Bombyx mori: one gene and its partner. The protein of the gene in region 2 interacts with the protein of the main gene of each other region in a pairwise test. Links are inferred from orthologs where the notes say so. Each region holds a gene or a part of one and is shown on either strand. Other genes may lie near its edges.

Region 1 (17,478 bases), on a different chromosome or scaffold from region 2:
TTACTCGTTTGTTTTTAAACATTTCCTATTGTGTTAATAATATATCTATAAATTGGTTTAAAATACAACGGGTTTGATAAAATTTCTTCTAAGTCCATCCTTACGCCTGTTTGTAAAGGCGAGTCACCCTTAGAAACATCGTCCAGCTCAGACACTAAAATTAATCTATTTATACTATATTTATGACATTTCATAACAATATGTTTCAGATCAGCGACCTCATTGACACAAAATTGACAGTTTTTGTCCGTTGCTAAACGTAGTTTAAACAAATGAGAAGGAATTCTACAATGACCGAATCTTAATCTATTAATGGTGGTAATGAATTGTCTGGAATTAGCTTCTTTAAATTTGTTATACCAAGGTACATGTGGCGGGGTATTCTGTATCTTTGTATACCATTTCCCTTTTTCTTGACTTATAGACCTCCAGTGTTCATACCACAGCGTTTTAACATTTTCCGATATTTTCTGCTGGAAGTCAGTATACGGTACTTTTGTTACATTAGTGTGGTCTTCGTCACATGCACCTCGCACTGCACAGTCTACAGCTTCATTGCCAAAAATACCACAATGAGCAGGTACCCATTTAAATTGGACATTCTTTCCTCTTTCGTTTAAATTTGCCAATATTTCTTTTATTCTATAAATAATATAGTTCATATTAAATCTAAAAAGATCACTTTCTAGTGCTAACAATGAACTTTTGCTATCAGTTAAAATTAAAAAGTCAGAACTATTTACATTATTAATATACAAAAGTGCTGTATAGATAGCGTAGCATTCAGCAGTAAAAATACTGCAGTGACTGTCTAGCTTGAAGCATCTAGATTTCTTCAGTTGTGGATCATAATATGCTGAAGCTACTCTACCTGAACATTTTGATCCATCTGTATATAATTTATAAATATTTATGTTAGATAAATTGTTAATATATTCAAAAAATTCAACTTTAGACCCAATTTTTTGGGAATCTGTTTCTACAGTCATACAGGTAGCCCTTTTCCTCCAAGTGTTGCCATATCTTGTAATCTAACGGATTCAAATCTGGACTGGGGGAGGGCCAGTCTTCGTGCCGGATGAAGTCGATTTCACGCGCCGCCAGCCAGTCTTGTGTGCTCTTCGCTCTATGAGCTGGCGCCGAATCTTGTTGGAATACCCAGTGCCTGTAATTGAACATGGTATGAGAAACAGGTTCCACAAGGTTCGTCAGGACTGTATTTTGATACACAACTGCATTCGTTTTTACACCTTTCTCACAAAAATGTACCTCTGTTAAGCCCCAATAAGAAACTCCCAACCATACCATGAGCGAGGATGGAAAATGACCTCGTTGGACACGCGGAATACGGTTGCTCGCTTCTTCACTACTGTGTGCGTACACCTTATCATGTTGTTTGTTGTAGCTCTGTTCTACGGTAAAAAAAATTTCATCCGAAAAAAGAATTTCCCGATATTTTTTTCCCGCATACCGCTTCAACAAAGCGCGGCATCTCTTCAGTCTCAGGTCCATTAGACGAGCATTCAAACGATGTCCTGTTTTTCTTCGATATGCCCGAAGCCCTAAGTCTTCATTTAACATCCTTTTCACCGTGGTTCTGCTTAACCCCATCTGAAGGGCCAACAGTTTCTGCTTACGTTTGGGATTTCTTTTAATTCGCGCCTTCACAGCTTTTATCACTGCTGGAGTCCTAACAGACCGAGGGCGACCACTTCTTGACCTGTCATCTACACTAGAGTCTTCATTAGTAGTTCTTTTGACGTTCAACAAGTATGTACTTTCATTTATGTTGAATAAAATTTTTTTGATTTGATTTGATTTTGATTTGATTGTATCGTTTGATGTTGATCGTTATATTCAAAATTTTCAGTATGTTAAAAATTTGAATTGGCGCGTAACCGCAACGATGCAACGCAATAACTGCAACACGGTCTTCTTTAAGCGTCCACTCCATATTTAAAAATGAGTAAAATTCTAAAAGTATACATTTTTATTTTCATGAACAATTCGAAATTCGAATTCAATAAACTTTTTTGTGGCCAGCATTCTAAAAGAAAAGTTTTTACTGTGTGACAATACTTATGACCTGACTAGGTATATACATACCTACTTTATGGGTGAAATTTCAATAAAGTTATTCCTTTGTCGAAGCAGTCGCTCGCACATTGAAGTTACACAGAAACATTAGTTGAGGAGTGATCCGCGCCATACTTATGATTTTATTTCGACACTGTCCAGGTAGTGTCCCAGTATACACGTCTGATTGTTGGCTGGATGAAACTATTCTTCACACTTGATTTAACTGAACTGTAGCAACTGGTGCATGTGGTCCAGAGGGGTCGGGCTGGGTGTCGGCGGCCAGCGCGCACTACGTGGATGTGGAGACGGCCGACTGGACCCTCCCTGAGGAGGCCTTCCCTCTGCGCGCCCCTCCGCCGGCCCACCAGCCCTCCATACTCGACACGACGCACGGTAGGTCGCGCACACACACACACGTGTGACGTCACTTTCTCTACAAGTTGTTCGTGGTTGAAGGTCGCACGGCTGCGGGCGGGGCGTCCCCCGGAGGCAGCTCGTCACCGGGGAGCGGCTCGAGCGGCTCCAACGGCTCGGCGTGCACCGCTCCACCGAACTTGGAGCAGACCTCCAGCGCGTACCCCGGCGCCGCCACGGTGAGCTGCGGGCGGTAGCCGCCTACAACTATCTGATACGAAATAGGAGTGGTCGTACTACCGAATACTATTCACATGATAACATTACCATCGTGATCAATAGCAAAATCTATTTTAATGAAGAGTTTAGAATTACGCTAATTAATATGAAGTCATTTAAAAAAAATTAGATGACACATAGGGACAATGACCTCGCGTGCTCATCGGCGACCCCGACGGTTATGATGGAAAAATCAATCTGTCTTTAAATTAGGTCTACTTTTTATTTTTTAAGGTTTGTAGGTAGATATTTTTCATGTCTATATTCTATATATTGACAATGCCAATTTTACTGGTGGTAGGACCTCTTGTGAGTCCGCACGGGTAGGTACCACTACCCTGCCTATTTCTGCCGTGAAGCAGTAATGCGTTTCGGTTTGAAGGGTGGGGCAGCTGTTGTAACTATACTTGAGACCTTAGAACTTATATCTCAAAGTGGGTGGCGCATTTACATTGTAGATGTTTATGGGCTCCAGTAACCACTTAACACCAGGCTGTGGGCTCGTCCAACCATCTAAGCAATAAAAAAAAAAAAAAGATTAGCAAGTTAATCGTTCAACTCCACGTAGACGGACCACCTTGCGTCCTGAGGTCGACGAGGTCAAAGTGTTAATAACATTGCACAGTTGTGTCGCGCACAGCCGGAGGAGGGAGAGTCTGGTCCCCTGTGGGTGGTGCACGAGGCGCTGCGCCCCCACGTGGAGCCGGCGCCGCTGCTGGCGCTGGCGCTGCGCCACCACGCCGACCTCGGCGACGTGCAGACCGCCGCGCTCGTCATGATCGTGCTGCACGAGCACAGGTACCGCCGCGCCGCCGCACTACTGCACTACCTGCTCCGGTAGACCTGGTGCGATGATAGTGGACTCTGTTGCAGGAGCGACTTGTTCCCGTACATAGACGAGGGTCTGCAGGAGCACTGGCTGCTGGGCTACATCGAGTTCTTACAGAAACACAAACTGTGGAATGTCGCCACTGAGGTACCACTCAATGTATTACTTAGTCTGGCCATAAATACTGTTACAATTAAAAATAAACAAAATATTACATTTGAATATACATATTACATTGAGTTTTCTCATTTTGGCGCCAATACATTGTACAATATTTTGCGATATTAAAATGGAGTGGGGTGACAAAGAGAACCGAATCGCTGTGATTGCATTACACAAAGTAGGTATGGAGCCAAATGCAATTTTTAAAACTCTCCATACGCTTGGTATTAGTAAAATGTTGAATGAAATGAACGTTTCGGACTTCATCAGAGCTGAAGACTGGCCGTCGTCTAGTCCTGATCTTAATTCGCTGGATTATGATTTATGGTCAGTTTTAGAGAGTACGGCTTGCTCTAAACGCCATGATAATTTGGAGTCCCTAAAACAATCCGTACGATTGGCAGTGAAAATTTTTTCCATGGAAAGAGTGCGTGCTTCTATTGATAACTGGCCTCAACGTTTAAAGGACTGTATTGCAGCCAATGGAGACCACTTCGAATAAGATTTTTAAACTTTAAATTGTTTTATATTTATGTATTAAACTAACACACTGTAAAAGTAATAAATGTTATTTGCAATAGATTTTTTTTTATTTTTAATTGTAACAGTATTTATGGCAAGACTAAGTATATACTATACAACTCTAATAATAAACAGGCGATATATTTAGCTTTCCCATTCGGCTTCTCGACCGAGTCGTTAAAGTAAAGCTTAAAACATAAATTAATAATTGTGTCTTACAAAAGACTACAAAAATTTGAAATGATTAATAACATGTGTTAAATCCGTTATACGTCCGCACCCAACAGCGACACTGCGGGGGTGCCAACTGTTCATCGTACGATTTATGATCTTTGTGTAGTTACTGGAAATAGTGATGTTGCGTAACACTACCTAGTCTCGTATCTCGAGAGTCCAGGACAGCTGTCCAAGTGATACGACATTGCAGGTGGTGCGGTGCGCCTGGCTGAGCAGCGTGTGGTCGTTGTCCCAGCAGTCCAGCAGCGTCACGGTGTGCTGCGGGCGCTGCGGCCGGCGCGCGCGGCCCCGGGCCATGTGCGACCGCTGCCTGCCCCACCCCGACCTGTGCGCCGTGTGCCGACAGGTAACACTGTCCCCCCGACTCGAGCCCCGTGCTGACAGGTAACACTGTCCCCCGACTCGAGCCCCGTGCTGACAGGTAACACTGTCCCCTCGACTCGAGCCCCGTGCTGACAGGTAACACTGTCCCCCGACTCGAGCCCCGTGCTGACAGGTAACACTGTCCCCCGACTCGAGCCCCGTGCTGACAGGTAACACTGTCCCCCGACTCGAGCCCCGTGCTGACAGGTAACACTGTCCCCCCGACTCGAGCCCCGTGCTGACAGGTAACACTGTTCCCCGACTCGAGCCCCGTGCTGACAGGTAACACTGTCCCCCGACTCGAGCCCCGTGCTGACAGGTAACACTGTCCCCCCGACTCGAGCCCCGTGCTGACAGGTAACACTGTCCCCCGACTCGAGCCCCGTGCTGACAGGTAACACTGTCCCCCGACTCGAGCCCCGTGCTGACAGGTAACACTGTCCCCCCGACTCGAGCCCCGTGCTGAAAGGTAACACTGTCCCCCGACTCGAGCCCCGTGCTGACAGGTAACACTGTCCCCCGACTCGAGCCCCGTGCTGACAGGTAACACTGTCCCCCGACTCGAGCCCCGTGCTGACAGGTAACACTGTCCCCCCGACTCGAGCCCCGTGCTGACAGGTAACACTGTTCCCCGACTCGAGCCCCGTGCTGACAGGTAACACTGTCCCCCGACTCGAGCCCCGTGCTGACAGGTAACACTGTCCCCCGACTCGAGCCCCGTGCTGACAGGTAACACTGTCCCCCCGACTCGAGCCCCGTGCTGACAGGTAACACTGTCCCCCCGACTCGAGCCCCGTGCTGACAGGTAACACTGTCCCCCGACTCGAGCCCCGTGCTGACAGGTAACACTGTCCCCCCGACTCGAGCCCCGTGCTGACAGGTAACACTGTCCCCCCGACTCGAGCCCCGTGCTGACAGGTAACACTGTCCCCCCGACTCGAGCCCCTCTACTCTAACTGTAATTCGGCCCCCGTGGTGCGGCAGGTGGTGCGCGGGCTGTACGCGTGGTGCCAGGGCTGCTCGCACGGCGGCCACTTGGAGCACATGCGCCAGTGGATGGAGAAGCACCAGCTCTGTCCCGCCGGCTGCGGACATCACTGTCAACTAGGCTGAAGTACTCCTTACAGAAAATGTTACTCTACAAAGTTTCTTCCATCATTGTATATCTTAGTTATACATCTTTTATAAAAAGAACATTTTGATAAGAGATTTATTTTGTGTAAAGTAAATACTCTTTTGTAATATTTTTTATTTACATTTAAGCATAGTTTCTGTTAGAATAAAATCTTAAAAATATGTGTTCGTTAAATGTAACCAATCTATTGAGACCAGCAACCTAAACTAGTCCTCGTCTACATTTGTATACATGTGTGCGATCTCACTGGGCGCGAGACCTCTTGTGAGTCCGCGCGGGTAGGTAAGGGCGATACAGCCGTTGTAACTATACTTGAGACCTTAGAACTTGGTGGATGGCGCATATACGTTGTAGATGTCTATGGGCTCCAGTAACCACTTAACACCAGGTGCGTTACTCTAAGCGGGCGATGACGTGCACGCTGAGACATACACCCTCCCCCTGCGACCTCCTCTTTCAAGACGAGCTCACGGCCCCCCTGGTTTTAAGTGGTTACCGGAGCCCATAGACTTCAATAACAAAAAATGAGCACTACCGAAATTGAGACAAGAGTTCTTCAGTCTCAGTTGTATCAGTACAATTATTACAGTACGCACGTAATTACTGCTAACTACATGTGATTTTTTGTCTGTAGTGTATGCAGTACAGCCATCCCTTGTTTAAACAGACTAAAGTTATCTAACTTAAGGCTTCCATTTTAAATTACTATTTTGGGTGGCCGCCCCACTGATATAACTTACAATAATACAATATTATATTGCATACTGAAATAGCTTCTAGTGTCGCGCCGCTGCTCATTATTATATTAATGTAGACAACACTCGATCAACTCGCGCTAAATAAAATTACATTTTAAATTTTATGGGAATTTATTAATATATTTACAGATTGTACAGATGCTATGTTTTTGTATTGAATATATTTTGTGAACAAATAATAAAGAAAACAACGCAACGTATGTAATCATGGTTTTATTTAATAAGTATTCTTATTTACAAACTGTATTTTGAGTGTATCATTGACAACAAGCTGACCACAGTGATATCTTCATCGGCGGTCATAGTGTTAGGCTGTTCAGATTTATGGGAGGTCGGACAGTTAACGTTAGTAGTGGAGGTGCTCGGTGACTTAGTACCGGCCTCCACAGACCCCGCCACTCGCCTCCCCCGGCCGACCCCGGGCGGGCCGCGGGAGGCGAGTCGTGACGTCTGCGCAGTGGCTGGAAATTACTTCCTTTATAAGTTAAACTAAGATATAGAACAGCACGACGGTTTGCATCTACCTGCGTCGTCGGGGGCGGGGTCCTCCTCGGCTGCGAGACCCCTCTTCACTCGTGACATCTGTCGGATAAGGGTCAGGAACGCCTGTCAAGTAATGGCGAGTCAGTTGTCGGACCGGTCAGGTTATAATCGAATTACATGCAGTTAATTTACATTAGAAACTCTTTGTTGACAACCATAAACAAGCAGATAAGCTAAACTTAGCTACAGGGCGTAACGCTCATGTATACAGCTCGAGAAGAACACAGCGAAACGTGTCTAATTTTACACTCTAGATTGAGAAAAGCCTTTTCACCGGAAGGTTGTAACGTCGACTGTACTGTATATAAATGCTCAGTAGCAGCAGACAACAAAAGGTATGTCTGTACAAGTTCTATAGGTACAATGTCTACAGGTAATGTACCAAAACTGGCGGTACTGGAATCGGTTCAGCAGAAGAACTGAAATAATGACTAGTCTGGGCCAATATGCATCAGCCGACATTGTAGGGAAATATAATAATGAAACGGTCGTACGTCCTCACGGCAACCATCCTCAGGACACCGGTGGCTTAGTTGATAAATGACTGCATATTAGCGCTGAAGTGCCTGTGGGACTTAGTTAAGTGGGTCGACACAATACGTGACCTTAGTTCTTAAAAGACATTTTAATTTTAAGCAACCCCCGCACAACAATTGGACTAGCAGTAAAGTCTTGACAAAAATGTATTTTCATCCAAATAAATATAATAATAGACTTACTCTTTAAACTCTAAACTTAAAAAGAACCTGACTTAAATATCAATAAATAAATAAATAATAAATAAATATAAATATTTTACTAACAATCACGCCACGTTAACTGGTCCCGTGATAAGTTCGTAAAGAACTTGTGTTACAGGTACCAGATATCGGAAATAAATGTAAGATTTTTATTATACACATACATATATTTAATATACATCCATAACCCTGGAAAAGACATTTATATTTATCATACAAATATCTTCCCTTGGCGGGATTCGAACCCGCGACCCCCTAGTGTAGTGACCATGTCACTTACCACTACACCAGACGGACGTTATAATAGGACTGCATTCGATTGTCACGCGTCATCTAATCTACTTTAGTTAAATGTCTTCTTGACAATTTTATTCTACAACACCTAGTTAATTAAAAAAATGTTCAAAATCAATTTATTTCAACTATGTTAATGACGGAACACTTTAAATTAATGCTGTTAACACTATTTTGGCAGTAGGTCAGTAACGGTGATTGCTTACCGTCGGGGTAGCCGCATGCGGATGAGAATCGAGATAGGTATCAAAATTTTTTTTCTTTTATTGCCCTTGTAGGCAGACGAGCACACCGCCCACTTGATGGTGAGTGGTTACCGTCGCCCATGGACTTCAGCAATGCCAGGGGCAGAGCCAAGCCGCTGCCTACCGCTTAATACTCTCCACAAGCCTCGTTTGAAGAAGGACATGTTATAGCGCTCGGGAAACACCGTGGAGGTAAGTTTATGCCAAAGCCAGATGGTACGTGGCAAAAAAGATCTCTGGAAACGTACTGTGGATGACCGCAGTGGCTCCAGGTAGTATGGATGAACTCTACTCCGGTGGCGGGCGGTGCGAGGGTAAAAACGAGATGCCGTTATCATCTCGAACAATTCCTCAGAGGCTTCGGTAAAATAATCCGGTCTGAACCGTGTAGGAGACTTCAATGACGATATTCCCGGCCACTGAGGGTCTAGTCAAAAACTTAATTCAGGACGGAATGGGCAACGTCTCGGGTTAAGGTATACCAAGGATTTTGTGTGAAATTACTACAGACCTATACTTGAGTTTCTCACGGGCATTTCGATACCTGAGAATTCTTACATTATATAACCTGACTGGAGACGGAACCTGCGGATTGTACATAGAGGCGACGAATGGAGGACAAGGGATTAATTAACACAAAACGTTTTAAGGGTAAACTATCGAGCACTTTGCCTTTCAAAATGTTTTTTAGATAAAATAACATTTAAAAGTATAATCAATGTCCTCATTGAACAGAGTATAGCTCATGGTGTATCCGCCGATAAAGAGGAGTGGAGGATCTCTTTACCATGGGCAATGTAATCATATAAATCTTGGGTCTTCACAGAATCTAATAATCAACAAACATGTTTAAAAATTTTTGCTATAAAACCATGTCACGCCAAAAAGCATAAGCACATTGAAAAAAGTAGAACGTTTTCGAACAAAAATAGGCAAAAACGCAGGCAGTACTTACCAATAGTGATACCAAATTATCCCACACTTATTTAGACCAAAGGCAAACAGACAACATGCAACAGTCACCTTTTTATATAAATTTTAAATTTATTTGTTTAAGCCCCAAGTAACAAATAACAAAGAAACTCTTATGAAATACCGGATTATATCAATGTTTTTTTTGTTGCAAGATTGTTTAAGCAATTTTTATGGTCCAAATTTTGCGTTGTGTTATCCATTTCTCAATTAATTGTTGTGGCTTCGAACACTAAAGTTTGCGTACGTAGCCAATCGTCATGAAAACTAAGCACGTTGTCACTCAGGTTGTTTTTGTATTACGGTATGCCTTTAATATACTATATAGATAGGAACTGTGATGGGATGAGACATCTGTTCGAAAACATCGTTTCTCTCTCTTTCTCTCTCGCTCACTCTCTAGCAATACAAGGGAAACCACTATTCATCCCTATGTCAATTCATTTACAATTATGGTACAATTTGTCATCACTTTTTTTGGAAATCCAAAATCGAAGTAGTTAACGCTTCCTGTTTGTGTTTATAATGTTTAAAATGTGATTACACTGTCTCATCAGTTTCGTCATTTTAAGTTTAATTATTAATTGACATTAACTTTTCAAATTTCATTCACAAAACATCAATCCTTATACATTAAATAAACGCTAAATGCACAGAGAAACAACACATATATTGCAAATCCTTATATTTCCTTGCATATAATATCGTTTATATCAATCTCGGTGAGAGTTATACATACACTTAAACATATGCATGTGAATATAAAAAATATGAGTTTGTCTCGCAGAGGAGCGCCGATTTGGACGCGGCCGTCTCCACTGACATTAACTTAAACACATATAATATGTCAGTAACAGCGAACCGTGAGCACCTGTGAACACCGCTAGCGTAAGAGGACTATCAGACTTAATGCAGCTAATGTAATACGTATGATTTATAGCTTTAATGTATCCGAACTCATGAGAAATGCAAGATCGACCCACGAAAACCTTCCGAAAACGGAAATTTGGCAGTTGTGGGATGTACAGTGTGGCCCACGGTTTCTGCCATACGACGTTTGAAATGCTACATGAATACATATACCGCAATGCATTACAATAAACAAACAGGATCCAGGAACATTCGAGATCTAAATGAAATGCTCCAGTGACGTCACAGAGTGTCATGCTCTATGAAGTCCGTGGACAGTTGGCGTCTCACATTCGACCAGTTAATGGAAGAGTGTCCGTTCAATCGGCCACCTCTCTGAACATGAACTACTCTGTCTCATCATTTATTCATTTATATCCCATAAAACAAACCTCCCTTCGACAAAAAAATCAGTATTTTATTTTTATTTAAATGAAGCATCTGTTATTTTTTTGTACAGAATGTTGACTTGTCGACAATATTTCTACTAAATCACTTTTTCATCTTGAACTTGATGTAACTTTTTGAACGGACACACCTCAACATCATATTTCAATTATTATTACTCTCAGTAAAAGTTACTATCAGTACAAATATTGGAGGGTAGAAGTTAGAAGCGCCATCTTGTATAGGGGACAACTTGTAAAAGTGTACATCTGTAAACAGCAAATTATTGTTGGAAGACTGAACTAAATAGTGCTAGTGTAGGAAATGGAAAAGATATGAATATCGCAGTTTTAAAAAGATTCAAGTGTGCTGGGTGGAATTGAAGTGTGATGGCGCTGTTTTTAAAATCGTTCCACTTGCTACAGTGGCGCCACCTTCATTGGCTTCCTTTCAGCGAACACTAGTTAATACACTGAGATGGTGCTTCCTCACTTCTATTCAACATACGTACAAAACAGAATTCATTTCACTTTTGACTAATCAAAAAGACTACGTAGTATGTACTCATAATTTCATTGACATTCGCAATTAGCTAGCAACATTCTAAAATTGATGCTTTTGAAAACATCGATCGACGTAGCAAAATCACTAAATATAGGCCCTCAATTTGACAATCGTGCCAGTTTTCGGGACAACCGCTTTAGAGCACGCGCGGTGAGGTCAGCACGAGAGCTTAACACATTCAAATGATGTTTTAATGATAATTATTATAATTTATTGTGACTTTGTTCCTGTAAGTTATATAATAAAATTCGATAAAAAAACGACGTTTAAACATTTATTTTCGAATGTGCTGAAATTCAAAATTATGATTACGCTTGCAGGAATTTCACATTATTTAGTACACGGCCGCGCCCCCCGCTGGCCCGCCCCCGGACCCCACGCCGGGGTGAGCAGTGTCGGATCCGAGGGGACAGTGACGTCACACGCGAATACTAAAAAATGTCTATACTAATAAAATGTCTGCAAGCCCAATCACTTTTAACGTTTAATCTTTAACTTAATAAAACTAGAACTTAAAGTAAGATTGTAGACACTAGAAGACGTACTGATAATAATAGTGCTTACATAGGTACATTTATTGTTTTCAGCAAACAAATTAAATAATCTTAATACTAATTAAGAATTTTTGAGTTTCCGAAATAAATAACACGAAAAATCGATTTATTTTAATCGATACAAAACATGCAAGCACAAGCTTAGACTTTAACAAGAATATTTAATAGAAAATAAAAAAACAAAAACGTCTTGTCGAATACTTACTGATCGAATGGCATCTTCATCCTTTTATTTTAAAGATAATGCAGAGATACCCTAACTTTAGGGTAAAAACAAATATACACCGCAATAAAGTGTACGGCATTGGGAGTATGGGATCGTATAAAAAAGCCAGTTTTTAACATATTCAAATAACAAAGTTCCAAAAGGTGCCACTTTTCATAATTCACTTAAGACGCCATCATGATGCGTGAGTATTCAACAAAACGGCAGCACCGCACACACCGGACATTGTTACACCTACACTTCTTGCATATACAGACAACATTCTAACCTCAAAACACGTGTTCAGTTTCCTTTCTTACTTTTCCCGTCCTATTCCATTAGCTTACAAGTCTTTGATCGGCGGAGCCTATTGTCGAGGACAGACCGGATAACAATTCAGACGCAACCGTGTCATTGACAATGTAAATACACTGGCAACAGACTGTCAGAACTACTTACATATCGAAGTGTGAAAGAATATTTGGTTTAAGCGACATTTCCCTTAATACACGACATTTATCTTCGTAATTAATTAAAGGTCCGTTTTATTTGTTACCTGCGACCCGCCCTCGCTTCGCTTCGGAAACATTACATTTTATTATTATAGCTGAGTTCCGTGATATTACCAGCGGTTATTGTCGTACCGCGGGTGACGCCGCGGGGCGAAGCTAGTCTAAAAAAAAGTAGCCAAAGTACTCCTAATACCACCAGCTACCTATCAGTGAAAGTCTCGTTAAAATCGGTCCAGCCGTTACAGGGATTAACAGGAACAAACAAACAAACAGACAAACAGTCAAAAATTGTAAAAAGTATTATTTTGGTGTATGTACCGGATATATATTCATATGCATATAGTAAAAGCGGTTATTTCAGTATTACAAACAAACACTCCAATTTTATCTATATGTATAGATCAACAAGTCGATGTTTTTAATTGATCTTCAATTGAGTTTACCCCATTTAAATAGCTGAATTTTTTTTTTATATTTTAACCAAATTTTAAAGTTTAAATGTCTCTCCTGTAAAGTTGCAAAAATGTCGCTTAAACCAAATAGCGTTTCAACTTTCACGCCTCGATACATTGTTTAGACGTAGGCATCACTCAACTGCTTTATATCGACGGACGTCATTGCCATTTACAACAATACCGTCCAAACAAGATCTGGACGATATGATACATTACATCGTCGCGATTGATAAGATATTACAGATAATAATTTAGTTTCGATCTCATATAGATTACGGATTGTGTTATTAAGTACCCGATTAAAAATGAATTAGACATTTACAAGAAATATGATAAGTGATAAATAATTTTCTTTTAAGGCAACTTTTCTTTTAATGTATCTATAGAATAACATTTCTAGCTGGGCACTTGTCGCGGTCACCCTACCTGTGGGTGACAGGTATACCTCGCAATACGGAATGAAATAAAAGTATTTAAACCAAAAAATACCATATTACAAAAAACATATTTAAATAGGGCATTTTCATTTTTCTCAATCGATTGCAACTAGTAATTCTGCTATTTTAATCATTCTGTATACGCAGTATTCCCGGGAATACAGCCTAAGCTCCGTGTTTTGTCTAATGTACAGTGAATACTTGTCACGGGTGTATGATTTGTATGTATGTATGTAAGGACTAGCTTTTGCCCGCGACTCCGTCCGCGTGGAATAGTCACTTTGGCATAACGCTACATTTTACTCCCCACTTTATTTACGTAGAAAGTGAAAATATTTTTTAATTATAGAATGTTAAGAAGCTATTTAAACCTCAATTTTGAAACATTTATTGGTGTTCCACTTGTATTGGTCTTATCGTGATGTTATATAGCCTATAGCAGCGGTCGGGGAACTTTTTTAATTATTACCCCAAAATAGTTTTGTGTAAGTTGATATTACCCCATGGCGAAGAACCAAAAAAACGAAATCGCTTCTTTTTAGTATTTTTCATATTATAGTCCCATGATAATTTTGAAAAGAAAATAATCACTAAAAATTTAACGATTCTAAAGAAGTTTTACTGCAATACCTATATACTTTTTACTCACAAAAGTTTCATTTTTACAACCAAAATTTAATTTTACCCCATTTGGGGTAATTTACCCCGGTTCCCCGACCGCTGTCCTATAGCCTTCCTCAATAAATGGGCTATCAAACACTGAAATAATTTTTCAAATCGGACGGAGATTAGCGCGTTCAAACAAACAAACTCTTCAGCTTTATAATATTAAGTATAGATTTACAGGAAAGCCTCAAAATGATGAGAAACAAAACTGAACGCGTGTAGTGAAGCGGCAACACGAGCCTGGCACAAGCGCGTACAGACCCGGACGTTCCAATTTCGTGAAAGTCGAATTTGTGACTTTAACAAACTTCTAGAACTTCCGTTTTTTTTCACGGAGCACGGTCGATTAAGGATTATTTATTTTTAAGAATAAATTAGCGTTAATCCCTACTACTTCTTTATAGTAATAACAATAATAATATTGTTAAATAATCAAAATTAAATGATTTGTATTTCGCTTTAACCAAAGGGCTAGAATATTGATGAGCAGTTGATTATATCGTTAATACAATTATTATCGAAACATGTTATATAAGAAAGATACGCATAGATTTTAATCAGCGCCCAGGGAGGCCGAAGTTGATCGTTATTCTTACGTCCGCAAGTCACAAAATCGTCTATCATTAAGCCCATCATACATCAAGGAAGTCTACAATATGACACATTTGAATTTCTTGCTCTTTTTCCCCTTCCCTCCCTCGCCGTTGGTCGCGCGGCTGTCGTCAGACTTCCGCGAGCGGATCTCCCTCATCAGGTCGAAGAACACCTGCGCGGACACCACCGTCAGCACACGAGACAACACACACCCGCCACCAGGACCATATCATTTTGTTCACAAGGAAATCAAGAATGGCGCATAAACCTTAATACGTGATGGGTGGACGAGCTCACAGCCCACCTGGTGTTCAGTGGTTACTGGAGCCCATAGACATTTACAACGTAAATGCGCCAGCCACCTTGAGATATAAGTTGTAAAATCTCAGTATAGTTACAACGGCTGCCCTACCCTTCAAACCGAAACGCATAGCTGCTTCACGGTAGAAATAGGCAGGGCGGTGGTACCTACCCGCGCGGACTCATAAGAGGTCCTACCACCAGTTTATATGTTACTGTCAATTATATTTTTAAAAAAATCGATTGACTGCAATAGATTTGAGTGTAAAGGTAGTAAAATCTTGAATTAAAGAAGGCAATTAAATCTGTTTATTCAAATACGCGTGCACACGCAGCGCGCACGTCCTAGGGTTGCGCTCCACGAAATGTTTCAATATTTATGTTTATTGTGGTAACAATTTGTAGAAATAAAAAACAGAGCGAGCAACGCGCCTCGACATTTCAGCAAAGCCAAGCAGAGCCACGCGCTCTGTGAAGCGCAACTTAAAACGAACAGTAACAAAAGCTGGTGCAAAGCTCAGGCTTGGCTTTGGTGGAAATGTAAAAGTGTCGATTCGAATGGACACTACCGACACCCGACTAGTGACACGTTCCAATCGACTATTAAAAATTATATACCAAAATATTTTGTAATAACGAGTGAGGCTTATTGTTTTGAGATACATTTTGTCAGATTTATATATTTCAAAGTATTTCATTTAATTAATTAGTAAGTATACGCTGTTGCTGCTTGTACGTCATTTCAACGTCTGTATGTCAAAGGCTCTCCGATGAGCAGCCCTGAGCTCGTCGGCACGTGTACAACAATGTGACAAACTTTGCCTTAGGAGCCGGACAGAAAAGAACATCTCATCTTAATAGATGTGACGCGACGTAATGCCTAACCTTTGAAAGTTGACAAAATATCTCCAAAAACACTTAGCCTTCGTATAATTAGGTACTGTACCGGATTGTGGAGATTGAGGAGCTGGTAACGACAGAACTAGTCTAGGGCACCTGTGAGTACTCACCTCAAGTCAACTTTGTATAATCCTCAAAACTGTGCGTCAGTAGCGGCAGTGGAGCGTGTTGGGGTCCGCGCGGGGCGGTACCCCCGTCCGACTCAATCCTACCTCGAAGCAGTCAAGTGTTCCGTTTCCGAGCCGGCCCGCATAATGGGTGTCGGACGTCACTTCTCTCTCTCTCTCTCACTTACTCACTCACACACACTTCCATGAACTCATCTTTGTTTCACAGTTAGTGACAGCATCGTTGCGACCCCCAGGGTTGCAGTAATCACTTACGAACCCGTCCCTATGCACACCTCGTTACATATTTATCACAATAATTTTCATGACGACAGGCGGATATTAAATATCTTTCACATAATTAATTAATTACAATTGCCTATTTATATTTCTTTAATACACTCTAATCGTAAAGTCGATATAAATAATTAATCGATATATCTTATCGTATGGGACAACCCTAATCCTAGATTAACTGCTTATCAGTCGTTCACCGCTTAATACCTTTTGTATTAACATAATCGTTTTTATTATTTCCATACAATGTGGTTGTGCTCTTGTTTAATACCACAACTTGTTATTAAGAATAAATAATTGAGCCAAGCACACCTAGTACTTCCGTTATCACATGAAGCACGAAATAAAAATCAAACTGTTTAATTCAAATCTATTCTCAGTAACAGAAAACCCTGTTTCTATTTTTCCAAGTTATTCTTCCTAACCGAAACAATTAAAAAGCTTACCTGAACATAAACCGCAATCCATCCAATATTCTGAGTTGTCTGGCAGCCTGCAGAACATGAACTAAGATAATTCCATCTAAATAATTTTGAGAAGAAATGATTACCTTACCAAGGGTATCCTTGACCTGTGGCCTATTTCTCAATGTGGGTTCTGCTGGACTTATAAAGACTCTAAGTACTAGAGCTTAAGGAAGAAGTTACCTTATCGACATTGTCCCTAGTTTTCGCCGAGGTCTCGACGTAGGGCACCTGCCAGTTGTGCGCCCTCTCCCTGCAGGTCTCGAGCGGCACCCGGCGCTTGTCCGCGAGGTCCGACTTGTTCCCGACCAGCAGGAACGGAATGTTGTCATCGTTTTTAACACGAAGGATCTGCTCTCTGTAAAGAAGTGGCAGTATGGTATCTTACTCCTGCCAAAATTCAACTCCCGCAGCCGTAAAGAAAATCACGCCGCTTTTATAGATATTAAAATGATCTTTAGTTCGCAATCACGAGTATAGATCTTCATAGTCAGAATTTTTTGAGTGAAATTCAATTTGTAATGAAAATGAATTCTGGAAGCCAATGATCAATTCTTACATTACCTGAACTCCTGTGTGGCATCGAAGCTCTCAGGCTCAGTGATGGAGAAAACG
Region 2 (17,478 bases):
GTTCTCATTCGTTCTCTACTAGTACTATGGTCTGACTTAAAGTCTAGAATTGTTTATTATTCACTTACATTAGAATCTATATCTATACTAATATATAAATCTACAGTGTTTTTTTACGGATGTTCCGTTATTATTACCTACTGAACCGTGCATCCGATTGACTTGAAACTTGGTATCCATGTAGAAAATACATGTAGGTACTTAATGGATAAGCTAATATTTATATGAGTGTTGGTCTCCCTAATAATAATGACAATAAATAATGATATTAATTTTAAATGCCCAGCGAAGCGGGCGAGTACGGCTAGTTAATTTATAAAATATATCAAGCTATGTAATGATTTCATAATATGTCGATTTCATAACTTTGACCTGCAAGATTCTAACAATGAAACATCGACTCGACCGCGATAATACAAATAAACAATTACTTTTAATGATTCACAAAGAAGAAAGAAATGACATTAAAAAATATTGTATACTAAATGAGTCGACTATTATCAAAGCCGGCAATGTGACTTTTGGACAATTATTGGTAAATCAGAAAAACGAATTATTGACTTTGTATTCCATTGGCAGTCACGAAACTCTTCTGAACGACATCTTAGATAAATAACAGGTTAAGTTAATACTTTATTTAATGCAGGTTTTGAACCGTATTCTTAGAAGGAGACGATTATATTCAACACAATCTTTATTGACATATCAATAACATTTTTTTATCCAAATGCACAGATTGCCACCTTTGATAATAGACGACTCAAATATAACCAGTGAACCTGAACAAAGTCCTTTGTGACGTTAACGAATGACTGATAATTACGCGTCTGAGGCAGTTGCAGAGATCGTTGCGCGCTTGCATAGCGATTTAAATGGATTTAACTCGCTACCATTGTCTACAGCATCAGTCGTTATCACGGATGCCGGTTCTTTATCGAACACAAGAGATAATTCAAATTTATATAAATTAACATTTATAAAGAGGTTGAAAGATCATAGTTTACCAAGATTATCACGAGTAGCGAGTCTCGAAGTACGTTAACCTTTCTGTAAGCGATGTGAGGGTATTCAGTGTGCTTAGTGCGAGCTCATTAACGTTCTCGATAGCGTAAAAGTTAACTCAAATTTGTATGCAGTTGGAACAGCGCCTCTAGCGGAAAACGTAGGCAAACGTTCCAACGCCATACAAGTTTGAGTTAACTTTTACGATATCGAGAATGTTAAAAAACTCGCTCTAAGCGCACAGATGTTAACTTAACTCGGGGATTGTAATTATCGAGCTCACGCCTTTCTCAACCCCAAAGTACAATACTATTTCTAGTCTCGTCCAGGGAAAAACGAATGGAAGCTATGTGTACCCATTAAGTTTCTCGCCGCATCTTCTCGGCGGGTCGCTATTTCGATCCGGTGGTAGATTCAGCGAAGCACTCTTGCTAGGGTTAGTGTTAGAAATTATCTCAGGTTGAAACTGTGAGCTCACCTAACCGTCCGAGCGTCGCTGGAATAGCCCCTAAGGCTACTAACGATTAGGTAGGGGAAAAAATCACTAGTTAATAATACGTTTTAAAAATATAACTATGTATATATTTTATAAGATTTTTCGTAATTTACATTCGCAGGCTGTCGCAGACGCTAGACGCAGACCTTGAAATAGAGAGACCGTAGTGATATAGTGGCATTATTAAAATGCTTGTTAATAATAATGGCTTTCGGTTATTGACAGAGGAGTTGTCTAAGAATTGTGCAGTTCTTTTTTTTTTTTTTTTTTTTTTTATTGCTTAGATGTGTGGACGAGCTCACAGCCCACCTGGTGTTAAGTGGTTACTGGAGCCCATAGACATCTACAACGTAAATGCGCCACACACCTTGAGATATAGTTCTAAAGTCTCAGTATTGTCACAATTCGTTTTGATAGTTGTAAAAGCCCAATCGAGAGCAGTGATGGCGACTACATGCCATTGAAGATTTCTTTGGCAGATTAATGTCTTCGTCATCTTTTCCAAATGGAGTCAAAAGGAAGTATTTTTTTTTTTTTTTTTTTTTTTTATTGCTTAGATGGGTGGACGAGCTCACAGCCCACCTGGTGTTAAGTGGTTACTGGAGCCCATAGACATCCACAACGTAAATGCGCCACCCACCTTGAGATACAAGTTCTAAGGTCTCAAGTATAGTTACAACGGCTGCCCCACCCTTCAAACCGAAACGCATTACTGCTTCACGGCAGAAATAGGCAGGGTGGTGGTACCCACCCGCGCGGACTCACAAGAGGTCCTACCACCAGTAAAAAGTACCGTACAGTACTTGGAAACGATGGTCAAACCTGTGCTTTATAAAGCATAAGTCGTTGTCCATGCGTGAAGTACCGCTTTGTTCTGTTAAGTGAACCCAACTTTTTAATTAGACATCTTAGATTTACCTGTGATTATATGTGATTAAAATAAACATTGCCACGGTCTCACACTTGTGAAACACTTCGAAACTTACCTATAATATTCAATTTACATTGTATATTAGCAAGAACCACGTAAATAGATTACTTCTTTATTATTATAAAATAACGATCTCTGTTATCACGACTTTTATCGAGTGGACCGTTTTATTTTCATTGAATCGTTGCTCTATTTAGTTTTATTTGTGGAATATGACTCAAGCTACACACTAAAAATAGTACAGCGAAATGGTAACGTTAATTTTCTTGAAACTCATTTTATAATTCACGCTTCGTGGCGTAAATAAAGGTAGAACTCGTTTTCGAATAACACTACCGATTTCCTTATGGACGACTATAAATAATTACGGTTCAATTACATATTTACAACCTATTTAGTCTTCTGTTTATGTAGTAATAAATGACAAAATCTAAATTGACCAGGTTTAGAAAACATAGGTACAACAACGGTAGGTAAGGGCTTAAAGACGCTGCCTCTGACATCGCTCATGGACGCATGAGAGATGGTAACCACTCACCATCAGGTGCTGGTCTGCCTACTAGTGCCTACACGGGCTACAAAAGGAAAACAATAGACATGATGTAAATAATTACTTACAATGATTAACCTCACTTTTATTTCATCCAGCAGTTTACAGCCCTCTAATTAACGTGAAACAGAAATGTCAAAAATGAAATGAAGCAAATGCCATGTTCCTCGGTACGTTTGTGAGGCTTCAGAATTTTAGAAATGTAATGCTGTGACCTTCTTGAAGTTCATCGATCCGTAGTAGTAAGAAGAAAATAAAAAGAGATTATTTTTTTTCCTAACTAGCCTAACAAATTCTTCCAAATAACCTCATTTTTTCTTAAAACCGTCGCATCACTTGCGCCCGCAACAGAATTGCTTACTATCTACGGGTTCTTATGATCATGCTTTCCACGTACCGACTGGATCAGAAATGAACTCCTTTTTTTGTGTACAAGAAAGAATAATCTCTCTCTCCGCGTTATTTTCTGATCGCTAAGAAATGTCCTCTTCCAGCCGATCCTTTCGAAGGATTTCTCAAGGGTAGGCAGTGGCTTAGCTGCGCATTGCTAGTATGTTGGGGAATTTCACGTTTTGGTCCGTTGAGTGGCTTAACTGCTCTTCCAAAACAACTGAATTGTGAATTCGACTTAATTTATTAATGTACGTGGATAAATTCACATTACGGTGTTTACTAGATCCGGGTTTGCGCATAAATTCAGTTTATTTCACTTTATTAAAGCTTATATCAACTAGGTATATTAAAAGTCGTTAATAAAAATCGCAACGACGTTTTGCACGGATTACCAATATTTAATCAAGGCTGTGTCGATAGTGACCATAAGTATGGTAAGCTTTACTAGCAGGACATTATGATATATTTATTAATATTAATCTATTAATCTTTGTTAACCTATGACCACAAATAAAAAAAAAATAAAAAAAAAATAAAAAAAGGATTTTACATGCCATACAAAAAGTGTAACACGTACTTTTTACGCTAAAAATTAATCGAATTAATAAAGGCGCGATTAAAAAGTAAGTACAATTATTTTTTAATTAAAATAATAACTATATTGCGGTTGGTACCTACAACACATGTGGATTTCGTTATCATGTAAAATTAATAGTATTTTCCTTGAACCGGTGTCCTCACAATGATATACAGCTAATATTAGAAATATAACACAGTAATTGTGTGGTGAGTATTATTAGAGAAGAAATAAAGCGATAAACAAATCCAGTGTCGCCTTGAAAGCGGCAATAAACGCGGGATGTTGGTACCCGTGTTCTTGCGCACTCACAATACGAACAAGCATATGTAATTACGCAAATTTACTTTTAAATTTTGCGAATTTCATTTTTATTACACAATATCGGTTCATTGTGTTCGGTCGTTAACAGACGTTACCAGCGTATTTATTGAGAAACATTGTTTTCTTCTTGCAGATTTCAAACAATAGCATAGTTGCATTGCTTGACAGATAGGTATATTAAAAAAAATATATATGTGAAGTTTTTATTAAATTACTAGATGAACCCCGCGATGTTATCCGCGTTTATTGTCGTACTGCCGGTGAAGCCGCGGGGCGAAGCTAGTCTAAAAAAAGTAGCATAAGTTACTCCTTGAATCATCAGCTACCTATTAGTGAAGGTCTCGTCAAAATCGGTCCAGCCGTTTCAGAGATTAGGCGGAACAAACAGACAGACAGACAGACAGACAGTTTTAGTGTATGTACCGTATATATATTCATATGCATGTAGTGAAAAATGGTTATTTCAATATTACAAACAGACACTTCAATTTTATTTATATGTATAGATATAATTTTGAATTCGAATTATATTGTCATGGCGACAAAATTGAACAAGATGGCGATACCTACTTGCCAGCCATTATTAATCACTGCCACCAGTAAAAAGTCATAGATAACACATATTATAGGTTATTAAATTTATAGTGAGAATTGAAGAGATTTAGGGGTAACAACCGAAAAATGTCGAAATAAATCAAACTCAATAAAAATGATGCAGCACTTTCATTGTGTTTGTAGAACAATAAATACTAACAACAAGGACTTCCCGGTTGTCAATCATTACGTATCGAATTGTCGATAAACATTAAATTTATAATTGATTAAATTCTAATCTTTGTAATAATTTCGTAGCCTTGAAAATAAATTTTACTTCTGTGTTCGTTGGGCCAAGAGTGTTATGCAAAATAGATTTTCAGTTTGAGCACCTCAGGCTTGAGTCCCGTGAGCTCACCTACTGGTTAGATTACGCTGGCATAGTCTCTCAATGCTACCAGCTTAGATAGAAAAAAAAAGCAGTTCTGGTGTTATCGTTTTGATTACGTAAAGTTCAGTTTGAGACCCGTACGTATTAGGAGCTGTTTAAAAAGAAATTGTTCATGATTTTCTGGTGGTAGGACGTGTTTTTAGTCCGTACTGGGAGGTACCACCATCCGCCTATTTCTGCCGTGAAGCAGTAATGCGTTTTGGTTTAAAGGATGGAGTAGCCGTTGTAGGTACTGTAAAAATTAAGATTTTGGTGAGCTCAAGGTGAGCGTTATAATTTACTTTGTTAATGTCTATGGACTACGGAAACCACTTAACACCAGACCGTGAGCTCGTCTACACATCTAAGCGATAAAAAAAAATCTTTTGTTTTTTTTTTTTTAAATCGTTTGTGTGGTATACGCGAGTCATAGACATAATTACAACCACGTTTAAGATTTAATTCGCGATTTTATTGTCATTATCTTATTTCCGACATTTCGAATACTTTAGTTTTCGGGGTCACGGACGATTGACGACACCGCAGTCTGATTATATTATGTATATATTTAATAATGTACGTTATTTACTACGTAACAGCGTTTAAAAATGAATCAATTTGTAAATAGACAATCAAATAAAAACAGGTTGTAAAATAATATAGGAATTAATAAAACCGATTCTTTTTAATCAACACTTATCATTCGCCTACGCCCTCTATCTATCTATCGGTGATGTCATGAATGTACATTTTGTTCGGATAATTATTACGCAACTAAGTTTGACACTTAATAATTTCTGAAAGATTTTATATTTTTGCTGCGATCCGATTTTGCTAACATATTATGGCGTTTAAGAACGCACCTTTTTATGATGCGTAAGTCGGAACGCACGAGAGGGGAAAAAAGAAGATAGTCTGGACCTTTTTACCGCCGAAAATTTAAACGGACAAAAAAATAATAATGTGTATAACTTAGAACTCCTATTGTGTCAACTGTGGTGTTAATTATATACAATATGGACTCCCTCAATATTTTTTTGATATGTTCAATTCAAAAAAAAAAAAAAAAACGGAGCTAGTCCACGTTTTGCCTTCGTCAGATAAACAAAGAATTAGTTCATAACTGGTTTTATTACTAATTTACATTTGTTACATGGAATAGAAGTGCATAAATAAACTTAAAACTAGTTCGAGACTCGAAGATTTTATGATTTAGACAGAATCTCTTTCATCGCGAGCTCTATCTTCAGCTGGATGCACGCGACCCTCTCTTGAAAGATCTGGTTGATCAAATTCAGTCTTTTCTGCTCGAGCAAAGCGTTTTCTTTCATCAGCCTCTGTTTTAACTCTTGCTCGTCGACGCTGGAGTTTTCTTTGGCATCTTTGTTATTCTGTAGGTTGCATTCCTGTTTGTTCTTCAGAGCGACGTAGCTCCTCAGCTTGACAATCTCGAATTGTTCCGAATTGATCTTCGCTTGCAACAACGACTTCAGTTGCAGGTATTCAGCGTTCTCTAATTCGAGACGCAGCACTTTGAGTTCTTTCTCGGTGAGTTTCGGTTTATCTTGGACGGGTTCCGTAGCTTGTGTCTCATCTGTGGTCGTTTTTTTGTCCGGCTTGAAGTCGAAGTTGTCTTCGAATTCCGCCTCGAAGGTCGCGTCTTGGTCGAGCGGCGATTCCTTGGGCTCGAACGCGTCGATTGGCCTCTCGACTTCGCGGACTGGCCTCTCGACTTCGCGGACTGGCCTCTCGACTTCGCGGACTGGCCTCTCGACTTCGCGGCCTGGCCTTTCGACTTCGCGGACCGGCTTCTCGGCTTCGGTCGGCTGCGAGCACACTCGCGTAGTCTCCTCGTCCGGTTGCTTCTCGTCTACGGATGATTGCTGCGTGGGCACCGCGTTAGGCTCCGTTGACTTTTGTACCGAACGAAGTTTACGCTGTAACGAAACATCAATGATCGATAATAACTATTAGTCAATCATTCTATAAAATTCAAATTTTACTGGTGGTAAGAGTTCTTGTGAGTCTATTCTGTCCCCGTCTGTTACTGCCGTGAAGCAGTAATGCATTTCGGCTTGAAGGGTGGGGCAGCCGTGGTAACTATACGGAGACCTTAGAACTTATATCCCAAGGTGGGTGGCGCATATACGTTGTAGATGTCTATGGGCTCCAGTAACCATTTAACACCAGGTGGGCTGTGAGCTCGTCCACCCATCTAAGCAATAAATAAATAAAAAACGAGTGTGAATTCAAATAACTCTTGAGGCGTATTCATTAGACGTACTACGGGTTCTAACATTACCTTGAGTTGTGTTACAATTCGCTGCGCCTCCCATAGTTGTTGATCTCTGGCGGCCGTTATGAAGCCGGCGTGCATCTCCGCGTGGATCTGACTGAGAAGAGATTCTTGTTTCCGCAGCTCCGCGCTCATCTCGGCGGCGGAGTCGGGGAAGTCGGCCGGCAGCGAGTGGAGAGGCGGCACGTATCTGTCACGAATACAACGAAATGAAATACGTACTTAACTAATGTGAACACGATTGACTTCCACAGTGTACGAATACCATCGTCTTCTCGCATTAAAACTGTATAATCTCAAAATAAAGAATAAAGAACGAGTATATCAGAGGAAGTGTGAAAGTGGCCCCGGTAAGCAACAAATTAGGGAGCGGACGGTTTGCGTGGTATGAACATGTGATGCGTAGAGAGAAGATGCATGTGACTAGTAGATGTATGGAAATGGTAGTGCAAGGTAGAGGGGAAGAGGTCGACCGAAGAAGACATGGATGGAGTGTGTGAATGACGATATGAGAGAGAGAGAGAGGAGTGAGTGTTGAGATGACGGCTTATAGAAGAGAATGGAAGAGAAAAATTAGCTGTGCCGACCACACCTAGTGGGATAGGGTGGAGAAAAAGAAGAATCTCAAAACTTACTAATTTTACAGGAGAATGTTTTAAAGGTTTAACATGTGATATTTTTAATATTAAACATATTTGCAACATTTATTTTTTATATTTTTTCCAATTACATTATCTGTCTTTTAAAGTAAGATAAAATTATGTATTAATTTTGTCAATAGTAGCCAAAATAAAGGTAAACAAAAAAAAAACGAAACTACGCTCTTTTGACAGTATTTATGAGAAAAATACTGGTGACACCAAATGATTCCGCATATTAACTCAATTTCGAATAATTTTGGAAATTGTACACTTTTTATGCGAAAAGACGATCTTAGAACTCATATCTCAAGGTGGGTGGCAGCATTTACGTTGTAGATGTCTATGGGCTCCTAGCCTCTGAGAACAGCGAGGCGATTGTGTTTCGTATCGCGAAATATTTATTGGAGACCGAAACATCAATTTATTGACATTAATCGCGCGCCATCTGTCCTAAGCTGAATGGCAGGATAAAGCCAAGAGACAAACGTTTTTTTTATTTTTATAAATACACTAGCCGTACTCGCCCGCTTCGCTAGGCATTTAAAATTAACATTATTATTTATTGTCATTATCATTAGGGAGTCCAACACTCATATAAACATTAGCCTATCCATTAAGTACATGTATTTTCTACATGGATACCAAGTTTCAAGTCAATCGGATGCACGGTTCAGTAGTTATAACGGAACATTCGTAAAAACCACAGTAGATTTATATATTAGTATATAGATTACAGTTTAATAACTTACTTCGTGAGTCGGACGTTAGGGAACAGTTTTTCCGATTTCGTTACGAGGTAAGTCAGCAGATTGAGTGACATATTCAAAGCCGCTCCCATAGCTGCCATTATCGTTTGTATGTTCGCTTGATTCACCTGTGAATATTAAATTTATTATATTTGGATTTTTTTTTATTGTCCTTGAAGGCAGAAGTACACATGGCCCATCTGGTACAATGGTTACCGTCGCCCATGGACTCCAGCAATAGCAGGGGCAAAGCCAATCTGTTGCCTACCGATAGCATTGAATCTTGTTATGTTATCTAACTGTATGTATTTACAATCACTGGTAAGGACCATTCGAGGTCTTTAAGGAATAAAATGCCGTAATGACGTATACTAAAACTATACATTTGGTTAGATTGTGAAATTAATATTTTTTTTATTGATTGTAGGGGTAGTGGTCTATTTCCTTTTCGCTAAATGGTATGGTTTTTTGACACCCTACATTTTTTATCTTGACATAGATTAAATCAGTTGGACCGTAAGCTTGTTTGTTCATCTATAGCCGTAAAATACTTTTTTGGATGACTAATGATTGAAATTCGACCATAATAATCACTTATTATGGTCGAATTTCAAAATTAAGATTCACTTTTAAGTATCACATTTTCTCTTTTTCTATAACTTTTTATTGATAATACTTAATAGCTAACAGACAAAAGAAAATACTAACTAGCTGATTTATTTTCTTTTATATTATACAGATTCTTTGAACGACTGATTCACAAACTATAGCCAAAGTTGAGATTCCAAGTAAAGACGAATTCCTATGGAAAATATGTTTGAATAAGATCTGAGAGAGATCTGACCTTATCGCTCTATAATGTAGAAATGTATGCACTACCATACCAATGCCTCAAGGTAAGGCTGTTATATCGCCACAAACCCAAAAGATACGAATTAATATTTACATGGCTAATTTACAACAGAACATACAAAAAAAGGAAAAAACAAATTTGGAAATATCGTATCCGATCCGACTTTATCGGTTAGTTAGAAGAACAAAAGTGCCAAATGCAAGTAGAGTAAAAAAATAATAATATGCGTAATTACTGGTGGTAGGACCTCTTGTGAGTCCGCATGGGTAGGTACCACCACCCTGCCTATTTCTGCCGTGAAGCAGTAATGCGTTTCGGTTTGAAGGGTGGGACAGCCGTTGTAACTATACTGAGACCTTAGAACTTATCTCAATGTGGATGGCGCATTTACGTTATAGATGTCTATGGGCTCCGGTAACCACTAAACATCAGGTGGGCTGTGAGATCGTCCAATGATCTAAGAAAAAGGAAAAAAAGTAACAAACCTGCTCATTGGAGACAACGTGTTGGAAATGTCTCATCAGCCAAGCCAGCAGATTGTGGTTACAGTTCGGCAGCTTATTGATGAGGTTCGTCATCGTCGCTTCTCGCTGAGGTTCGGCTATAGCGGTGGCTTGTTCGAACTGACCGTGCAGCTCTTGTGTTAGTATCGATTCCGGGAGTTCACTGCGATGTGGAGATTCGTATATATAATCGTACATTAAATCGTTACATTGATAAACAGTCAAACTTTTATTTGTGACGAAATAGCGTCAGATTTTAATTACCTATAACTATTATACTAATTATATGTGAACAATTATTGAGATCGCAACGAATTTGTCATGTTTCTACGAATCTTAGCACAGTCATAATTATTTACGTGACGTTTTTATTATTTTAATAAATGAATTGTGTAAAGACATTTAGATAATTTATTAATTTTGATATTATAATTAAGAGATTGGTAGTAGTGGGGCGTATAGGGAGGCTTCCGCATGGGCGTTACTATTATCGTGCTTATCTTGGCTACTAAATAGTTTTCTTCTTCTTTACAATTTGGCTCCGGCACGGTTTGTGCATTAGCCGGCATCAAGTAATAAGTTTTTTATAATTCGCCGTTTTAATTATTTACAGTTTTGAATACTAAAAAACGATGGAAACCCAAATTAATCACCTCAGATGAAATTAAATGAAATGAGATGAGATGATATGATATGGGATGAAATATAATCTCAGTAAAATGGTGATTATTTACTGAGACTTTTCCAGTCGAGTTTTGGGAGGATCCCGAGAAGCTACGTCCTTTCACAAATATTAAACAGTTAAAAAACCACCGTTATTACACATTTAAACCTGAAGATACACTAAATAGACAAAATAAAACAATTCACACAACTTCGCTCTTCGCGTTTCCGCCAAAAAGTCTGCTTAATAGTCGAGCTGTTATTCAATTCAATAGAGACCTTAACCTCCTTAAAGTGGGTGGCGCCATTCACAGTAAGACGTCTATTGTTTCCGTTTATTGTAGCGTTCAGGCAATTAATAAATAGAGTATATTGTTATCGAATACTCTGCCGATAGGTAGTACCATATATGCCAAGTGCCAAGTCATGTTGAGAGACATGCCGAGTTTCACGATACCATTTCGAGGTGACAGACGAGACTATCATAGTTTGAACAGACGTTTGCCAGTTGGAATATTAAAAAGTATTAGGGTTCATTACCTGATGAAAGCTTTGAGCATAGCGCAAGCGACAGGAACGTCCCAGTGATACGGGAATGTAGGCCCTCGATCCGTGAACAGTTTCCTCAGTTGTTGAAACTTTATCTTATCCGGTTCGGTCCGGTATATATCTTTCGATTTTAATCCGTGTGCCTAGAATATAAATATCATATTTTTGATGATTTAATCCTATTTAACATGTAGTCGTAGCTAGAGCTAGAGAATAGATAATCCGCCAAAATCCTGAAATGCGCTAACGACATTTTCAAGTTCCGAAAAAGAAGATGTAGTCGTCAGTATTTTTTCTTTCCTTATAATTCAAAGTGCGAACCATATCATATATTAACTATCTTTTTTTTTATCTACCTAAGCTGATGGTCTAGAGAGATCATAACAGCGTCACCGGGCTGGTAGGTGAACACATGGGGCTCAAACCTGACGATGTTGCTAACATTTTAGAGGAAATTTCGAATGTCGTTTATAAGCATCTTATTTGGCCCAAATATTTCTCTTCCTTATATAAATTATGAGTGCAGAATTATTCATTACAGATTTAGAAAGTAGACTATATATAATAGAACACCATCATATATTAAAAACATTTTTAATAGCAACCATCATGATTTGTAACTACGATAAGATTGTTTTATTATACGTTGAATTCACGAAGCGTATCTTATACCTTTAAACGAGCAATTCTTGTATTCTATATAATCTGAATCTCGGAAACGGCTTCAACGATTTTCATAACATTTAGTATACAGGGGATTTCGGGGGCGATAAATCGATCTAGCTACGATTTATTTTTAGAAAATGTTGTTTTATTCGTGTTTTCAATAATCAACTTTATCGATAATCAACTTTATGACTCTTCCTGATGTCTATTGGCGAATAATAATACTATTTTTCTTAATTGAGAGAAACTAACTGCTTTAAAGACACAATAACACTAAAGCTATTTCAGCAGATAGCGTTGTTAAGTCACCCGAAGCCAATGAGTGTTTGGTTTAAGGTTAGACCAAGAAAATGAATTGTTCATTTATATTATTTGTGTCTTTTTAACTCACGTGGTCACTTAAAAATGCCTAAACGTTCTTGGAATATTTCATTATTTTATCAATATGTAATTCGTGTTTAAATACAATTTCTAAAAAAATACAATTTATCAAAAAAAAAAAAATACGGTCATCGTCTAGTGTAAATTATGAGTGCAAAATTATTTATCAAAGATTTAGAAAGTTGACTATACAATAGAACACCATCACATAATACATTTAAAAAAAACTATTAAAAACATTTTTAGTAGCAATCGTCGTGATTTGTAACTACGATAAGATTGTTTTATTGGACGTTGGATTCACGAAGCGTATACATATTAGGTATACCTGTAAGTAATCGATGCTGTCTCGGACGACCAGCGGTAGACCGGTGTCGTCATGGCAACGAGAGCGCTCCACAGACTGTTGCAGTGGTACACCGAATATAGGGAGCGCAACTGAAAAAAAAATGACGACTTTTTTTTGCTTATATGGGTGGACGAGCAGCCGTTGTAACTATACTTGAGACCTTAGAACTTATATCTCAAGGTGGGTGGCGCATTTACGTTGTTGATGTCTATGGGCTCCAGTAACCAAAATTACGTTGAAAGTTTCCGTTGCATAGACAAAATACCCCATCCTCACGGATCGTTTGGAACCTCTGGGTCTGCGGAGGAACTTCGGTTCCCTCTGTATTTTGTACCGTATGTTCCATGGGGAGTGCTCTGCGGAGTTGTTCGAGATGATACCGGCATCTCGTTTTTACCATCGCACCGCCCGCCACCGGAGTAGAGTTCATCCATACTACCTGGAGCCACTGCGGTCATCCACAGTGCGTTACCAGAGGTCTTTTTTGCCACGTACCATCCGGCTATGGAATGAGCTCCCCTCCACGGTGTTTCCCGAGCGCTATGACATGTCCTTCTTCAAACGAGGCTTGTGGAGAGTATTAAGCGGTAGGCAGCGGCTTGGCTCTGCCCCTGGCACATTGCTGAAGTCCACAGGCGACGGTAACCACTCACCATCGGGTGGGCCGTATGCTCGTCTGCCTACAAGGGCAATAAAAAAAAAACAAGTCAAGCTAATAAAAGCGCAATTATAGGATACCTATTATTTCCAAGGTAAAACAATCTATGTAACTTTGTGTAAATAAACTACTTTTACGATAAGAATGGAAAACTTTTATCTCCGAATTTGTGCATCTTAATATTCTTTATGTATTTTACTTATTATACAACATAACATAAGCTGGCTGAAATGTTGACTAAACAAGAATTAATTCGTACAACATTTGTCGTACTAAGCTCGTCGTAAAACCATTAAAAACAAAAACAGAAAGAAAAACATATGTTATTCAAGTAAATTAAAATGTTTTCTTTCATATATCCCAAAACATCTCAGCAGAAATAGTTAAATAACTTTACATCGGCGAATGAACTAAATTTATGATAATTTTTAATAATACCTAAAACAAAATACTCAATTATGTCGATCGATATCAGATAATATAGTGTACGAACTAAATAATCTTATCAATTCATTAAGCTCACTAAGAGTAGCTAGTATACACAGAAGTAGTATACATAGTAGTAATAATACATAGAAATGTTACGCTTACCGTCTAATAAAAATCCGTTGGCAAAAGGATTCATTGTTTCGACGGTAATGTTAATAAAACAAAATAATAAAACGAAACATCGTCATTACTGAACGCGAAAGCAAAATAGACTAACTAAATAAAAAAAAAAAAAAAGGTTACAGCGTTTACTAAACACTATGGAACAATTTAAATTTTATTCTGCGTTATCGTACACGCCCTCAAATTATTTGCACAGATAATACATTATCAGAGTTGTATGAAACGTTTTTTGGTATGTATAATAGTTTTTCTCTCACTCTCATGTTTGACTTTGTAAGTGTTAGTTTGAAAAATTGCACGTTTTTATGCAAAATTTTATTTTATTTATAACTTCTTACACTAGAAAGTATAAAGGCGGACTTAATGCCATAGGCATTCTCTAACAGTCCACCTTAGGGGAGTGCAGAGATGAAGCTTGGTAGGTGTAGTGTGAAGGTGATATTATATATTTATATGTATATGATATATTATAAATTTTCGTTGTACTAAAGACTTGCAAACTGCGGCTTCAGCATGCCAAATCGTGATGGTGCAAAATTGATTAATTAATTTAATAAACACAATAAAAAATATGCTTTTTAATAAACGCCATTTTTCTAAAATTGAATAGAGAGCATGTGTATATGAAATAAGTTCGCACTTAGTTATTTTTATCTCCATTCGGTCATAATTTTGTATGGGAAAATAAAAATGAATCAAGTCATAATGTTCGAAATAAATCATTGATATTGACTACTAAAGTTCATAGTTAATTTCAATAATGCCGAAAAAAAAAACCACCACCCTGCCTATTTCTGCCGTGAAGCAGTAATGCGTTTCCGTTTGAAGGGTGCAGCAGCCGTTGTAACTATACCGAGACCTTAGAACTCATATCTCAAAGATGGGTGGCGGCATTTACGTTGTTGATGTCTATGGGCTCCAATAACTACTTAACACCCGGTGGGCTGTGAGCTCGTCCATCTATCTAAGCAATAAAAACGAAAACAATTTTTTTACGAATATTCATTGTTCTCAAACATAAGCACGAACTAACGATAGGTCATTAGTGAAACATGGAGTAGACGAGGAAAAACATGCTTCAAAATTTTTCCGACATCCGATAAGACAAAGTATTTTTGTATTTTTTACCCTGATTGACGTCCAAAAAAGAGTAATAAAAATATATTTTTTTCAAAAAGATTCTTGTTTACACTCAATAGAACATTCTAGTATTATTGATTTTGTTATGATATTTGTTTCATTAGTAATCATAAAAAACTAAAATAGATATCTATTTGCGTGGCTAATAACTCAATGTGACATGTTCTATGCCGATTTATGCGGTCCAAGTCTTTAGATTAGTGCCACGCATATGTCAGAAATAGGCAAGATGGCGGTACCTACCCGTGCAAATTTCCACCCAAAAAACCAGCAGAAATTGGTATAACGATTAGAAATAATCATTGCCATTAAAATTACCGATCTCACTTGATACAATATTTTAACCAAACAAGCCAACATATTTTATTACGATAGATTAATATTTAGTGTTCTCAGCAAAAGTATAATCGCAACACCATTCGTGCAGGCGTTACGAATTGCGTACATTGAACGACTGTAAACGTTTCGAATCGCGTTACCGTGAAACGACTTCTCATAATGGAACCTACAATGGTACGTTTAAACATAATTTACAAAGGTTTTTTTATTGGAACTGCTCCGTTTTGAAATAGTTATTTATGCAACAAGAGAGCAAAGTTGTTTTTTGTTTCGAGTGCAGAATGCTTAGTGCGAGTTTTTTAACGTTCTCGATAGCGTAAAAGTTAACTCATATTTGTATGGACCCATTCCATAGTTTGCCTACGTTTGCCGCTAGGAGCGCTGTTCCAACTGCATAAAAAATTGGGCTAACCTTTACGCTATCGAGAACTTTAAAAAACTCGCGCTAAGCACACTGATTTTGAGTCCCGAGCAAGCGAAGGATTCTATGACTGATTCACGAGCATAGCGAGTGATTCAAAATTAGAATCCTAAGCGTAGTGAGAGATTCAACAGGACGAGATGCAAAAAACTTTGCTCTCGTGTAGCACACATAACTTTTCACTTCAGCAGTGAGAACACATATTATTTAAGAGATATATAGAAATGAACAGGAATAGATTGAAATAACTATTAAAAAAAAAACGCAATTTCTTTATTACAAACTTCGATCAACAATAGTAACTAGATTTCGGGTCGGTGCATAAAATCCGTCTCGTCAAATAACAGCGCACTTGAAATGTGAGCTCTTATTTTGTTTAGTTCACTTCAAACACAGCCAATTTCAACCCGTCTCACAATACCGCAGTGTGTATTCAAAAGTTGCAAAAATAAGGCCCGAAAAAGCAATTTAACGGCCGGAGTATCTTACTTTCGGTAAGTACATGAAGTATAAACTATATTGTAAGCTTTAAACTTATAAATAATATTAAATTTTGAACAAAATTACCGATTTTTAACCACCGCTACAAATGTTGGCCAAGGCTCGGCCAACACATGGACAAACTTTTGCTTAACAGAACAGTAAATGCATGGAGTAGATTTGTGTTGTAATAATTTTTTAAAATTTGTTAGCAGCACTTCAAAATTAGTTGGTTAAAATTGGTTAATGCTGCTTTTGTGTCTGTTTGTTGGACTCTCATTAGATACTTAGCTTTCCATTTTTATTTTAGCTTTCCTAGCAATCACGTGTGCAGAATGGATCTCGATTGTCGCCAGAGAAACAAGAGATGACTTTTATAAGCCAGCTAAGAACTCCGCTTATTGACACTGGACATCTTTGCCTTCCGTGCTCACGGCTACTGAAATGTGGCCGAAACATTGTAATAAAAATACCACGCTTGAAACCGTTTAAACGTTGTTTTATTATGTGCACTGGTCGCGAAAACTTAAAAATATATATTATACAAAAACGTAACGCTAATAAAATAATAAGTAATGTATAGATACTAACAAACATACATTTCCAAAACATAAAAAGTAAACAACTAAACTTTTACTTTAATTCATTAATAAATTATTTTAGTGTTAAGCGCGACTCCCTTACCTCCTGTAGTAAATAGAAATCGGCATTTCAAGAAGCAAAAATAAATAAAGCAAAACGATGTTAGTTCTCAGAGCAATTAAGGGAAAAGTTACTTTATTTGTTGCACTTTAAGATTGATTTAACATTAAAAGTTGTTTAAAATATGTCTTTTTATTGGTAAGTGACAGGAGTAATTTATTGCTTTGCTCGTTTTATGTGACGAATGATCGTAAGTATTAGATAATGTTTTGGAGATTTGTGACTTTATTACTAAGTGCCAT

Evidence for each region.
Region 1: the proteins of ralA-binding protein 1 (region 2) and ras-related protein Ral-a interact in a two-hybrid assay, tested with the Drosophila melanogaster proteins (6 studies listed by BioGRID). The link is inferred for Bombyx mori from reciprocal best matches to the Drosophila melanogaster genes Rlip and Rala.

Annotation. Positions count from the first base shown.
Region 1 is NC_085114.1:15,867,726-15,885,203, reverse strand, and holds the end of ras-related protein Ral-a, read right to left. Parts: coding exon 17,428-17,478; intron 17,222-17,427; coding exon 17,047-17,221; intron 16,893-17,046; coding exon of another isoform or gene 16,842-16,892; exon of another isoform or gene 14,968-16,841; coding exon of another isoform or gene 14,851-14,967; exon of another isoform or gene 10,181-14,850; intron 7,325-10,180; coding exon 7,208-7,324; 3' UTR 6,917-7,207; downstream 1-6,916. Other genes in the region: GATOR2 complex protein WDR24, read left to right, coding at 2,314-2,472, 2,536-2,672, 3,338-3,510, 3,586-3,688, 4,653-4,808, 5,810-5,938.
Region 2 is NC_085113.1:5,980,043-5,997,520, forward strand, and holds the end of ralA-binding protein 1, read right to left. Parts: intron 17,028-17,478; exon of another isoform or gene 16,845-17,027; intron 16,549-16,844; exon of another isoform or gene 14,903-16,548; intron 12,974-14,902; coding exon 12,864-12,973; intron 11,632-12,863; coding exon 11,480-11,631; intron 10,440-11,479; coding exon 10,259-10,439; intron 9,049-10,258; coding exon 8,924-9,048; intron 7,724-8,923; coding exon 7,540-7,723; intron 7,175-7,539; coding exon 6,443-7,174; 3' UTR 6,350-6,442; downstream 1-6,349. UniProt on the Drosophila melanogaster protein: Participates in receptor endocytosis during interphase, is also involved in mitotic processes when endocytosis is switched off.